2 linked regions of the Astyanax mexicanus genome follow. The protein of the gene in region 1 interacts with the protein of each later gene in a pairwise test. Links are inferred from orthologs where the notes say so. Each region holds a gene or a part of one and is shown on either strand. Other genes may lie near its edges.

The links.
Region 2: the proteins of kifbp (region 1) and dok2 interact in a two-hybrid assay, tested with the Homo sapiens proteins (2 studies listed by BioGRID and IntAct). The two-hybrid records come from large-scale screens. The link is inferred for Astyanax mexicanus from reciprocal best matches to the Homo sapiens genes KIFBP and DOK2.

Annotation. Positions count from the first base shown.
Region 1 is NC_064414.1:42,926,934-42,934,185, reverse strand, and holds the start of kifbp (KIF-binding protein), read left to right. Parts: upstream 1-3,982; 5' UTR 3,983-4,056; coding exon 4,057-4,494; intron 4,495-6,075; coding exon 6,076-6,174; intron 6,175-7,252. UniProt on the Homo sapiens protein: Activator of KIF1B plus-end-directed microtubule motor activity. Required for organization of axonal microtubules, and axonal outgrowth and maintenance during peripheral and central nervous system development.
Region 2 is NC_064419.1:32,359,777-32,367,676, forward strand, and holds the start of dok2 (docking protein 2), read left to right. Parts: upstream 1-4,657; 5' UTR 4,658-4,736; coding exon 4,737-4,796; intron 4,797-7,871; coding exon 7,872-7,900. UniProt on the Homo sapiens protein: DOK proteins are enzymatically inert adaptor or scaffolding proteins. They provide a docking platform for the assembly of multimolecular signaling complexes. DOK2 may modulate the cellular proliferation induced by IL-4, as well as IL-2 and IL-3.

The sequences.
Region 1 (7,252 bases):
ACAGTATGACTTAGATAAAACTCGGATGTGAGAAATCTCAGAACATGAAATGATGACCAATGAGTCAGAGCTTAGAATTTAAAATATATTAAAGTTTACTTGAAAAATAGTTTCAGCATTACAGATATATAAAAGGAACAAAAATTAAAAGATATATATTAGAAAAGAGTAAAAGTACATCAACGAATAAAATCTCGATAGATCAACACATTCGCAACCCAGAGAGAGAAAGAGAGAGAGAGAAAGAAAGTGAGAGAGAGAGAAAGAAAGAGAGAGAGAGAGAGAAAGAAAGAGAAAGAAACTAAAGCCAGTCGAGGGCCAGAGAGAACTCCTCAGACTTCATCCAAGCAGTTATACATTTTGCAAATGACATGTGATTGGACAGAACTTATCACTATGATTGTGTCAGCAGAGTCCAGTTAACAGCATGTTGTCCAGTTTTAATGACGTGATCCGCTCCAGCCTGTCTGAGCAACAGGTTCTTATCATGATGTTGTTCAGCACTGTGTCCTTCATGAACACAGCAGACAGTCCTTAAGTGTCCTAAAGTCTGTGAGAAGATGAAACAGAGGAAAAGAGTGGATGGAAAGATCTTCTGCCCTGTGTACGACTTTACGGCGTGTAGAACAGGCAAGCGCTGGCTATCTGAGGAGAGGTCCTCAGCACTTCACTCAGATAGCTTGTTGTCTCCTAGTTCATATGCACTGGTCCCAGAACAGTAGTGAAGCTTCTCTGCCACTCAGGGTCACGTTCTCCTCACAGCTCTCATTGTTGATGAAAACACTCTGACCTTCCTGATTCCTGAAAAAGTAAAAACAACCTCCAAAGCCTTGTCATAGTGACAGTTAAAAAGAGAGCAGAGATCATAAGGTTATTAAGTGAATTATAAAGTGAACAGTAAAAATAATAACTGTATATATACATGTATAAAACATTTAAGAATAAGAGTGTGAAGGTGTGGTTATCTCCAATCACACCCTTCAATACACTACAAAGTTTTCATAGGATACCTTAGTCATTTTCTGTATCTGAAAAATCCTACAAAACAGAAAAGCCTACATTAGATAAAGAGCTGCAATAAATGACTATTTTGGTGGTCGACAAATCTGATGATTATGTTTTTCATTAGTGGATTAGACAACAATAATTTCTGCCATTCTGTTAATCCCTGAATGTAGGATTTAAAAGTCTGTTAAATATCCAGAAAATGATTAAAAGTGAAGTGCTGAAATTTTGTGAGTAAATATGTAATCTCTTGTGTTTGGACATTTAGAGACACAAACCAAATGGAGTGTAAACTGTGTAAATGAGCCCATTACCCCTCTCCCACAGCGTTTCTGACCCAAGCACTTAGTCAACACTAAAATTTCATTATATTTTTATAATCAGCACAAACCGTTGTTCAGATTGATTAAAATATTCAATTACAGTATTAATTTATTTTGCTTTTATTATACATTTATTAAAATGAGAGAAAGAGTTATGTTCTTCAGTTGTCCTCTAGAACCCTGGATAGTTTAACTGTTAATGAGTGCGGCATGGTTCATCCACGGTTTATTTTAAAGTTGAATATCAGTGTGAGGCAACATGAGACACTGTGTCCGAAACAGAAGCATGTGGTGTGTAGACAACTGCATAGTGAAGAAAAAACATTTTGTCCAATTGTCTCGTTTTTCATGTCTGCTTAAAAAAATAGATTGAATTATACCATTAGATTTTTACAAGATGCAAAAATGGAAACATCTGAATATTCCCTGACATTCTTATTATGCAAAAATAGAAAAATGTAAAAATGGATGAAAGTCCATTTCTTCACCTTACCAAATGGGAAAAAATAAATAATAAAGTTCACACTGAAGTTTACACTATTTTTAAACCTGACTTTAAATTTAGCCGATAAACAGTACTTTGCGTAAAACTACTGAAAGAAAAGAAAAAAAAGTGAAATTCTGACCTTTTGGCAAATAATACATTACTAACCCAACAGACTAAGTAGTTAATAATGCTCTTGTGCACTTATGGTTGTCAAACATGCCCCCATAGCACTGATGACGTGAGAGGATGTGGGTGTTTATTTTAAGACAGGTGCTGATGCACTTCAGTCAATTTGTGGCTTGTCTGGTGCATCATATATATATATATATATATATATATATATATATATATATATATAGATAGATAGATAGATAGATAGATAGATAGATAGATAGATAGATAGAAGTAGATGATAGAGAGAAGTAGATGATAGGTGGTAGCTCCAATGTGCAAGTACACCAAAGTATTGTGAAAGATGTGCTTAAAAATATACAAATATGAAGGAAAGAGTCTTATTATTATTATTTAGAGCTAATTATTGAGCGTTTTAAATGGTGTGATGATTTGCCTTTTACAGCACAGAACTTTTTCAGACAGGAAATTATTTTTACTTCTGAAGGAAGATAGAGTACAGAAATACCCGCCATTCAGAAGCGTAAATTCAGTGGCTTCTGGTAAGACCTGAGATCTACTGTACTTGACGCTTGTGTGAACACTGCATGTACTGATGCGTGTCTACTGATTGTGCAGTCACTTTCCACTACAGCTGAGCATATAAACATAAATTTACCTGAACACACTTCAATTTAAAGATCTATTTGCAAGCACGGGCACAATTTAAACCACACAGGTGGAAGGTGTAAAAATTGACTGTTGGCATAGTGCAAGATAGCAATGAGCATTGTGATGCAACTAGCACAGAGTGTAAGATAAGACCCATACTTTTATAAAAGTTTTATTCATTATTTTATTGTGAATTTCTTTTGTTTTGGGGTTGTATTTGGGTTATTTATTGAATTTAGTTCTCAGTTTGGATGCTTCTTGCAGATCAAACAAAAGCATGATATTATTTCTATAAAATTAAGTGGGTTTGTTAAAGTGGACCCCATGGATTTGTTCAAGCATTTTTAAATCAAGATAATGAATTCCATTAATAAAAAGTGTGGGTGGATGAGAGGGGGAACCAACATAAGAAATTTGCTGGGTATAGAGCCCTTAAGGTGACATTATGTAAAAAAAATGCATGGGGATGACTTATTAAGGCATGGATACAAGATATAATAATTAAGTCATAGGGTGACTTATTAAAACGTGGAAATGAGAAAATTAAGTTGTGGGGCAACTTATTAGTACTACAGAGCCCCTAAGGTGACATCATGCTAAAAAAAAAAAAATTTTAGCAGCCACGACTTATTAAGGCATGGGAACGAGATCCTAATGCGTGGGAACAAGATAATTAAGGCGTGGGAATGAGGTCATTAAGGTGTGGCCACGACTTATTAAGGCGTAGGAACAAGTTAATTAAATCTAGCTGGAGAGTAATAAAGCTTACTTTTCTGTAAATAAATGCCTATGGAAATAAAGGCCTTAGGATCTTGTTCCCACGCCTTATTAAAGTGTGGCCACGCATTATTTTTATTTTTTACATGATGTCACCTTAGGGGCTCAGAGATAATTAAGTTGTGGGGGCGACTTATTAAAACGTGGGAACATATAAGCTGCCCCAACACCTTAATTATCTCATTCCCATGCATTAGGATCTTGTTCCCACGCCTAAGGATCTTGTTCCCACGCCTTAATAAAGTATGGCCATGCATTATTTTTTTTAAATGATGTCACCTTAGTGGCTCCATATATTACAGACAGAAAAGAGCATTGTTATATGTTTCCATTATTGAAACATAATAATTTAAGCCTGAAAGGGTTAGGTTGTGGCTGCATATTTTTTTGTGATGTCACCCTAGGGGCTCAAAGATAATTAAGTTGTGGGGGCTGCTTATTAAAGCGTGGGAACATATAAGCCGTCCCACTATTAATTATCTCGTTCCCACGCGTTAATAAGTCGTGGCCAGGCTTTTTTTTTTTTTTTTTTTTTACTTGATGTCACTTTAGGGGCTGTGTTGAGGCACTGTGTATACTAAGCTGAAATCCAGCGGCTCTGGCCGCTGCTGGCCTCTGCTGGTGGGATCGCTGAGCTGAACTGAAGGGAGAGGCTCTGCTTCTTCTCCTCAGAAAACAAACATGGCGTCCACCAGCAGTCGTGAATGGAGGGCGGTGTGCGAGAAATTCGGGCGGGCGAACCACCTTTCCGAGGTGGAGTCCAGAAAAGATCCGGAGAACGACCCGTTCCGCTCCAAATACGAAGCCCGGGAGCTGTTAAAAGACATTTACTGCGCGCTGAAGAGCGTGGAGGCGGAGGAGAGCGACGGCGAGGCGGACGGGCAGGGCGAGCAGAGCGGCTCCGAGGAGGCGGAGTGTGGAGCCGGGAGATCCGTGCCGGGAGACTCGCGGGCCGGCCTCAGAGCCGCCAAGCTCGCGGTCATCGAGTACTACCTGGGCGTGAACCACACCGAGACCGAGGAGCTCTCAGCCGGTGAGGAGCATCTGATGAACTGCATGAAGCTGCTGGAGAAATGCACAGTGACCCCGGAGAACGTCTCTCTGTTCATCCAGGCCAGGGTAAAAACACAGTGTACACAAATTCATCACTCATACATCCCGAATATATCACAGAAATATCACTAAGGTGTTATTATCATGATGCACATGATTTGTAGTTACATTTCTGAGCATATTCTGTATAATGTCAGTCTAAGAAAAATATGCTACACATTTTATTACAAATAATGTAACTGGATGGAGTACAGCAGCACATTCTGAACACAAATCACTGAACTAAATGTGTACTAAATGAGATTATTTTACCAACAGTTGTTGTTCAGACTATCACTACTGATGCATGTTTTCTATCTATGTGTGATGTAAAAATATTGCAATTAAGACCATGTATTATAAAGATTTTTTGATGCAATATTTTGACAATATTCCTCAGCCATTTTTAATATCTTAAATAAATGAAAAAAAAATCCCACTTTTTTGTGACTCTGCTCTAAAACTAGGTGATACTGTAAAACTATTGTATCACAGTGTTTAAAGACATTTTCACAGTGCACAATATTTATTGCAATCAGGGATGCATCAATACTTTTTTTTCCCAACTGCGTAAGAGTACGAGTTCATGTATTTGTGTATTCGCCCATACCAGGAGCATTATTTAACTGTGTAGGTTTTAGTGTAAAGTAGTGCAATGCAACAGTTCATTTGTTAATTTTGAGATATATTTTGAGTCACATTATATACATTAGCATTTTTTAAAGAAATGAAGAAAGTATGCTTTTCTATTCTGATACCAGTATCAGTATTGATGCATCCCTAATTGCAATGCAGTAGCAAATTCCTTACAAACTGCTACCCAATTACACTCTCTTATATAGTTGGGTCAGTGTTCTTTAAAGGTCACCTTCCGCGAAAATCCGATTTTTCTTGTTTTTTGTGGAATACAGTAGGTCTCTCCGAGTTGAATGTGTACACCTGCACATTAAACTGTTTTGCAGCCCCCATTGTCTGCAGGAGCTAAGCAAAGAAGTCCCCCCTCCCCCCCTCCGAAAAACGGGTGAATTTTGAATTATCTTTCTGCCTACGTAGGCAGAAACTCACAGACCAGCCCACCTTGGCTCGAGAAACTCCCAGAGGCGGAGCTGAAGCGACGCAACATCACCGCTCATCAGTTAGGAGGTGGGAGGCAGTGAGCGGCAGAGCGGTGGAGGGGCGTCGCAGTGCTCCTAGCCAATCAGAGGAGAGATATTTGCATGCTGTTTGCATGTATGAATATTCATGAGCAAAGCTGGAATCCGGTCATTTTGGACACACCCCTAAAACAGTCCTTTAAAAAAGAGCTATACAGAGACACCTGAGCACTTTTTTTTTACAAAAACGGCTCACATGTCATTCATTCATACTAGAGACCACAACTAGACATTTTAAAATGAAAGAAAAAACGACGGAAGGTGACCTTTAAGCATTGATGATATTTCTGATATGATTTTTCACAGTATGATAAAATACCATAGTATGGCCCATATCAGCTCTCCTCTCTAAGTAAATGTATATTTCAAAGCAAATATATTGTTTAAAAAGTTAATACCTAGAATTATTGTGACAGGCCTATGTGTAACCTGACTCTTTGTCTTTCCTCAACAGAACCAGCTTGGGATCTTGTGGGCTGGAAGAGATGAAACTGAGAAAGCTCAAGGATTCTTGGAAACAGCAGAATCCATTTATGTAAACTACATGAAAGAGGTGATGCAGATCTTTATTTTATTAATCACCCACAATAAAACGTGGAAGATGTCTTCACTTATTCGCATACACAATGTTTACACCCAGTTTGTGTAGTGTAAGGGGATAGCAATATTAACTAACAGATTGAGATGTTCTGAGCAGGCTAACATAGTCATACCATGACACTGCGGGAATATCCAGCTCAGGACTAGCTACTTTTGGAAGCTCAAGGTAGTTGAAAAGCTGTTCGTCCAGATGAAACATACACTTTGCTGGAAATCTAGCTGGTTAACCAGCTCTTAACCAGCATATAGTATGCTGCATTTGATTTTCATTATATTTGGTTATAGGGGTGGGCGATATGGCCCTAAAATAATATCACAATAGTTATATTATTCGATAGTCACGATATGGCATTTTCATGAAACGATACTCTTGGAGATATGACAAAAAGCTGAATAAAAAAACAAATACACTAATGCAACAAAATAAAAAAATAATTTTATTATTGCGTACAGTGTGATATGGCACACCCTTAACTGAGATATTAAAAAATACAAGAATTGTATCAGATTTGTAACAGAAGTCAATGATCCAGAATATTATGATACTACATAAATCCAGGACTAAATGAAAAATTAATTATACTAGACAGATATAGTCTGTTTCTTGTAGATATATAATGGAAAACGCAAGAAGCGTGATTTTTTTATTTTGCTACAAACAGCAAAAAAAGTTGTACCCTGATGTGATCAATAGGAGTGATATGGCACAATATTTCAGGGCATAATATTGTTTGCAATATTCAAAAATGTTGGTGATATTATTGCGTACGATACAATATGGCACACAACTATTTGGTTATGCTGGTTGATCAGTGTGATTAGACTTGTTATTAACAATTACAATGAAGATTAAAAATACCAGTATTTGTCTTTTTAGCACAATTTTATGTTAAATGGATATGCAGTAGGTGTGAAACTTCCAGAATCCTTTCTATTGATTTAATAGTCACAGTGATGTCCATAACTCTAAAATAAAGCCTCCCATTCAGTTTACAGACTTTAAAGTAAGTGTTAAATGAACAGATGTTTTG
Region 2 (7,900 bases), on another chromosome or scaffold:
AGTTTATAGTCACCTTTATGACCATAACTTTTTAACAGTAAAGAAAAAAATGGATCATAGAAACCTATAGCACTTGTTATTGAAAATGTTTTATGGGGTGGTCTGAACAAATACTGCCTGAAAAGTCCAAATTATTATGTGGAATAATAGTTCATTAAAAATAATTTAATTTATGATTTGTTTTTACTAACTATGTAACTTTTACTCAAAGTACATTTAAAATTGAGTACTTTTTTACTTTTACTCGAGTAGATTTTTAGATGGGTACTTTTACTTGAGTAGAATCTTAGCAAAGTAAAGGTACTTTTACTTAATTACAATTGTTCAGTACTTTTTCCACCTCTGTATATATTAGTAAAACAACTACTGTAGTACAGTAACACATTAATTCCGTACTGTCCAACACTGCTAATTTCTTCCTACGTGTCTCACTGGTACACTGCTGTGTCTGTACCAGTGTGAATTTGTGTCATGATGGAAACTTCACGTTAAAGAAGAGGAAGTGAGATCTGCAGCTGACCACAGAAACAGCCTGCTCACACCTCAGATACAAAAATAGAACTTGGCTGAAACAGATATAGCCGTCTGACCACTACACAAGTTTTAACCAAGCAGGAACAATTAAATAACAGTCAGTATGCACAACAGAGGGGCACAATATACATTCAGTGACCTATTTTAGCGATCCGTAAGCTTGGTTTAGAGTGCGTCATTGTGTCTTTGCTATCGTAACAACGGGAAAAGTACAGCTTGCGTGGCTGGAAACACGCAGAAGACATGTACTGATTCTCTTAAGTAATCACGGGTGTGTTTTGGGTGTAATGTGCAATAAACCAGTCAGTGTGTTACTTACTATTCCCTTTAAGAGCCAGGTATGCTCTGACTTTGGTGAATTGGTATTTTAAAGGCGCAGAGCTTCTGCAGTTCTCAGCAGAGTAAAAACTGACCTGCATGTTCACGCTGTGAAGGTGTGCGAGCAGGACATTTACGGGGACAGCAATGTTACATTATTCTTAATTCTGTCCGTAAAAATAAACTGGTGATGGTGTGTAGGATAGCGATGAGCATTTCAACAGAATAAATAAACTAATTATGAAAGAGAGAAACTGTAAATTTGTCAAAAAACAGAAACAGACATGTAATTGAGGAAGAGGTTAAAAGATGGGGAAGAAAGCATGAACATCTGACAGTTGACTGTTGTCAGGGTTCAAATAAATTAGTGGCGCACCTGTGTTTTCCATTGCCAAGTTAGCAATACACGAGCAATACATTAGAAATTTACCCGAACGCACTTCACTTCCACACTACGCCTACTCAACGCAGATATATTTGTAAACTCTGTTGCTATTTTAACAATGCAGATGCAAGGCATGAAAATAGAGCATTTTAACAGAATAAAGAAACCATATATGAAAACTGGTAATGAAAACATGTAGGTAAGAACAAGGTCAGAAAGCTGCATTGCCAAGATAGTAATGAACATCTGATGGTTGATCGTTGTCAGGGTTCAAATCAATTAGTGTTGCACCTTTGTTTTCTATTGCCAATATAGCAATAGCTCAGAAATTTAGCTTAACACACACCCGTTAGTGTAAATATATTCACAAGCTTTGTTGCTATTTAAATGGAGTAGACACAAGACGTACAAATTAATCTGCTGACGGGGTGTAAGATAAGAATGAGCATCTTAACAGAATAAAGAAATAAAGAAACGTATTATGAACGAGAGAAACTGCAAATTTAAAAAAAAAAAAAAAAAAAAAGTGAGGTAGAGTCGCCAAGATAGCAATATACATATATTCACAAGCACTGTTGCTACTTAAACGACACAGATGTAAGTAGTGAAAGTAAGCTGTTGACAGTGTGTAAGATAGCAATAGACTTCTCAACAGAATAAAAAAAAAACAATTATGAAAGTTAGGAACTGTAAATTCTACAAAAAGAAGAAAAGAAGAAAAACAAAATGACATGTAAGTGAGGAAAAGGTTAAAAAGCTTATAAGAATGATACAAAATGAAAGAACATATGGAATTGATGACAATTTAGATGGGAAAATGTAAAAAGTTGCTGTAAAACACTAAACTAAACCAGTTTGCTATGTTTTTCAACTAAGTATAGAGAAGTGTATATACCCATTACTGCAGAACGAAGCAAAAAGTGATCCCACTACCTAAAGACAGCAAATGTGCCTTAAATGGACCAAATAATATATCTGTAAGTTTGCTTTCAGTCAATCTATTTATATAATCTATATTGCATACTGTAGGAGAGGACAATCAAAAAGCACTGCATGTATTCAAATGAATGATGACTGGTTAAAAGAATCAGAAGAAAGAAAGCTAGTTGGAGCTAGCTTATCTCAGCCCATTATGCATCTTAATTTACATATACGTATACAATGACCCGCTGATAATGTTGAATAAAGACAGGCTGCAGATGTACGCAGATGATACTTCTCTAAATGCATCATCTGATGCAGTTAATAGTTTAAAGGAAGAACTAAAGTTAGTACCAAATGGATCAGTGACATTCAAAGAGTGCTAAATATACCAAAAACAAAAACTATTATAATTGGGTGTCAATCATTTGGGGAACTACCTAATGTGAGTTCATGTTAAATATAGATGAAGAATCTATTGGGTGTTGTAATAGACATTAGATAGGCATAATAGATAATACATTAGCATAAATTGGCATAATAGACAATAAATGAGAAAACAAATTAAGACCGTTGTAACAAAAAATGGAAAAGATTTGGGGCCCTATCGTACAGTCTGAGCACCCAGGTCAGTTTCCTCGTCTGAGGAAAAAGTGCAGCGCAGTGCTGTTAAGATATCAACGCACCAAAGTCAAAGCGCATCTGTCTCTTAAAGGGAATGACTACTGGCACACTGATTGGTTTATTTCACGTTACGCCCAAAACACACCCATGGTTAATTAAGAGAATTAATACAGGCCTTTTGCGCATTTCCAGCCGCCCAATGCAATACCAAAGACACACCGACACAGAAAACATTACAAATAGTAATGTAATTCTTAGTACTATTTAATCTAGATTGCTGTGCAGCATTGTGGTCAAAAGCAGCAGAAAATAAAACATTTAACAAAGTTACAGATAATACTGTGCCCATACAGAACAAACATAAATAACAATCACTAAATTCACAAAAATAAATTATCCAAAGTGACTGAAGTTTGAAGACAGGAGATGAGCAAACGTTGTGGGATTCATGAAGAATAATAATCAGTGATTCTTGAGAATTGGGATAAAACATGTCTCACTAAGAAAAAAGTTAAATTAAAAAGTAAAAAAAAGTAAAAAAAAAAAAAAGTAAAAAAAAAAATTAACAGCATTTTCCTGAATAAAAAGAATCAAAGTTATAATCAGGGGTTCCTTTACAAAGATGTAGCGTTACTGTTTAGTATCACTAAGGACAGAGACTCGCAGATCAAAATGAAAATGAGTTTATTACAAAAGGGACTAGGCTTACAAGAGTAGTGAGGGACAGGCAACAGATACTGAATAGATTGGGCAAGGCCAAAGAAAGTAAATGGAGATACAAAAAGGGATTGGTAACAAATAGACAAAAACAACAGAATGCGTCGTAGAAGAGCTAGGAAAACTAGATTCAATACTCAGCAATAACAGAGGGGTATATATACTAGAAAAGACAGGTGGAGCCAATTAGTAGCATGGAGACTGGGAATGCCGTAGCATCTTGTGATCGGTGAAGTCAGGGAGATCTGACAGCCTTAGAACTGATATTTAGGGTTATTGGTAACACTTCACAATTAACGTTAAATTAAATAACAGTAATTACAAAATGCAGAATGCCTTACCTAATTATTAACAGACACTACTGTGTTTAACCATTTAACAATATTTTATTACTGTGATAAGTACTGTTAATTGAGTCCCTTATTGTAAATTAATATTTTTATTAATTTGAATATGATTATATGCTGTCCTATTGCCTACAAAAGCAGCTGTTTTTTAGTTTTTGTAATTTATGTTGTAATTAGCTAACTTTATTTCAAAATTAAAACCATAGTCATATGTTTATGACTTCACTTCCTGATATGTATGAAAAACAACTGTGTGTCTGTCCAAACTCATAAACATTGCCCAAACATCAGTTTCAAAGTTCAGTGTTTAGTTCCTCAATATAGTTCTGTGTGGATAATGAACTCCAATAAACTACATTCTACTGTTATAAAGCAGAATTAAAGCTGTTAAATCTGATGATTATGAGAGTTTAAAAAGATACTGGAGGAGCCTGTTGTATCTAAACCATATATAAAACCATTTATCACACATTTAGGGTTTGGTGTGCTCTTTCGACTGTTGAAGTGAGTGAGGCCTTCAAAGAGAAGGATGATGCAAAAAAAGTAGATGCAGGTTAGTCTTTTAGATTTTAAATTCCATCAAAATAATTAGAAATCAGCTAAAATTACATAAACTCTCCCCAAACCAATTTACTACACAAGACGAACATTTAAACCATAGTAACATCACATGTATGTCTTCAAAATACAGGAAAACAAGTACACACACACACTCTGTACGTGTGTACGCATTGCTCAGCAGAAGCGCTGGGTGATACAGGATGTAGAAATGGCGGAACTTGGAGCGGTTGCGTACGTCACACGCAAACACAAGAGGAAAGAGGTGTTATAGCAGATGAAGGAAGCTACAGGCTGGAGTTGCTTCAGAGAGAACGCAGAGAAACACAGACATGGAGGAGGACATCCGAAAACAGGGCTTGCTGTATCTGCAGCAGCAGAGGTTTGGGAAGGTAAGACCAGTTCAGATCAGTGTGAACTTTGCAGGAGAACGTTGGAGGAGGTTAGATGATCTAGATGTTCAGATGTTGCACTGTCAGGCTGGATTGATATATGACTGTCGATAATGTTAAACATGTTACAGCAGACTCAATAAACTTGGCTTGGTCTTGGCTTGGTTAAAGAAAGGGTTTTTCTTTGGGATGGAGAACTTCTTGCACACTTAAGCAAACCAAATGATTTAAGAGCTGATAGAACCATGGCAATTGAATGCATGCTTTAATTAATTAATTTGTTGACTGGTTAAATGACTCTTCATGTACTAGAAAAGTGTCTTGTAGCTGGTTTGGTCAGTTCTGTGTACTGTAGAATGTTTTCTGATTAGAGTATTCAAGACACTCTTGATAATTGAGGAGAACCTTATCTTCATTTTCTGTTCACGTCACTGTTTTTGTGCTTTTGGGAGTTATTTTATTTAAAGTGCCACATTTCATTTTTAATGCAATTATAATTATACAAAAGAAAATAAAAAAAATTATACATTTCTCACAACGGTCTTGTGAGAAATGGTTGGTATATGGTTTCTCATCTCAAGAACTTATTAAAAACTGTATAATACATTTGGTTACCTTAAATACTTTTAAATAACTTATTTATTTAACTTAAATATGTTGCACAGTTTGAGCTAAAGAGCTTTCAGTTCAGTTGTACCCATTGCATAAAGTGCTTTATAATGCTAGACTTCAATATTCACAGTTAAAGCAATGGGTAAACACTAAATCTGTCTACTCTGGACAATACTGGAGTGTTTAGTGTGCAGAAAAGTGATATGTCTGAGATGGAACACTGGAGCACCACTTATTGTGTGCTTCAATATTCCCCCAATGATTTGGCCAAACACCTTATCTGTTAATAACTGGAGTCAGTAATGGTCCACAATGAATCAAAATGATTTATTTCTCAAGTGCTAACACTGACAACTCAACAAACCCAATCATATAGAGTTAAGGACACTCAACAGAAAGCTTCTTTAGGGAACAAAAAGTGTTTTTTTTTTAATAGTTTTAAATTTGCCGTCGCTTTTGAACACAATGTTTTCAATGGGACATGCAGTGTACATGTACACGTAGTAAACGCAGTGAACGCTGCACAGACAGAGTGAAAACAGCATGGAGCAGTAGAGACAGCATTTGTTTATAGCTGTGGTAATTAGCGTTTCTAAATTTGCAGTCCTTCTCCCCAGGTAACAATGATCTGTAAGCCGTGATTTATATAATTTTTTGTTCTGTTTTTTCCAGTTAAGTAGAAATATTTTTTTTTGCAATGGTAAAAGATATCATTAAAAAGCATCAGCAGTTTAGCTTAAATAAAAGGAGTATATTTGATATCTCGGTCGGATCGAGACCGGATCACGCTCCTACCCTAAGCAAACCACCAGACCCAGATCACCTCCATTAGCTGGTCCAGTTGTCTTGATCCACACCTGCTCAATCGAACTGCCCTAACGGTTCAAATGAACCAGATCCTGTTTTAACCAGACTAAAAAGTGCTGGTTTGAAAACATCCTAAGTGAGCAGCAACATTAGTTGTGTGCTTCAAAATGTCCCCATTGATTTGGACTAAATCATGGGTTCTCAACCTAGCAAAAATAACGGTCCAAAAGAAAAAATAATATTTATTTCTCAAGTGCTAACACTAACAATTCAAGAATCATGGTCCAAAAAACTTCTCCATTTCTGATTAGCTTGGGTAGATGATTGCATCAGGTGGCAATGGCCATGTTTTCTGAAACTGATGATGTTTAATTTAAGTTAATTTGTGAGTTTCTAAGGATGTTCATTCAAAGTTAATCAAAATAACACGGATGATTTTTTACTTGTACTGTACAAACATATATACGATTTTTTACATAGTGGAACCCTCACACTGTCTGAGACATTTTTTTATTTCTGTACTCTGTTAAACAGGGTTAGACACTTAAAGGCCTTATTGTCTGTTTTTTCTGTTCTTTTTCATTTCACACCTCCACACTATTGATCATTAGTGAGGGAAGCTACAGTTCGCAGTTATTTGTGGCCTTTCAGCTCTGCTCTGTCATATGTTTTCTTTAATCTTTGCATTTTAATAATCACTGTGCTGCTCTTTATATAGAATCAAAGCATTGCAGTCCATCAGTTTCGTACTCAGTGTGAAAGACATTATGTGTTCATTGGTAAAGCATTATAGGTGTTTTTTTTTTTTTTTTTTTTTTTTTTACTCAGTGTAGAAGATCCTGTAAAATCCTGATAAGATCACATTATGAACTACTGCCTCTCTCTGAGAATGGGCCTGTGGACCACTAGAGAGTTCTTCATGGCCCACAGAATGAGAAACAACCTTAAACTAAACATAGGGCACTATCTTACACCCTAAGCAAAGCACGTTGCGAGGCGTGTTGACCTAGAAATAAGGTGTATTAAGGTAAATTTCTGGTGTATTGCTATTTTGGCAATGGAAAATGCAGGTGCGCTACTGACTGAATACAACCCAGGCAGATGCCAACAGGCGCTCCTTGTTTGTTACACACAAAAAGATAAGCTGCAGTGCACAAACCCATAGTGCATGCCTGTTGGCAGCTATGCAAACTCTACAATAAATAAACAATAAAAAAAATTATTGTGAAGAGCAGGTCAGTTTCCTCTGTTGAGAAGCTGCTGATAGACACGTTCAGGTACAGTAGCTGTGCCCCTGAAATAGCAATCTGCCAAAGTCTGAGTCCACCTGGCTCTTAAATGGAATAGAATGTGACATGTACTATACAATTGGGCTGGATATTTTCACTGATTTCCTGATTGGATTCTGATTCAGAAAGTCTTAATTTAATTAAGTTTCCAATTTTTGAATTTTATATTGATTGATTTAGGGATATATCAGTTGCAATTAGAGGTTTTGTTCGGATATGAAAAGAGATTTAAACTTCTTATCTTATCTTGTGGCTGTCTATATACAAGAATATCTCACTTACTTACTATTAAAATAGTAAGAGTTAGCCATTTTTATTGTCTTTTTTATTTAATTTCTTTACTGACTATTCTTTTCTTTTTCTGCAGAAATGGAAGAAGGTCTGGTCTATCCTCTT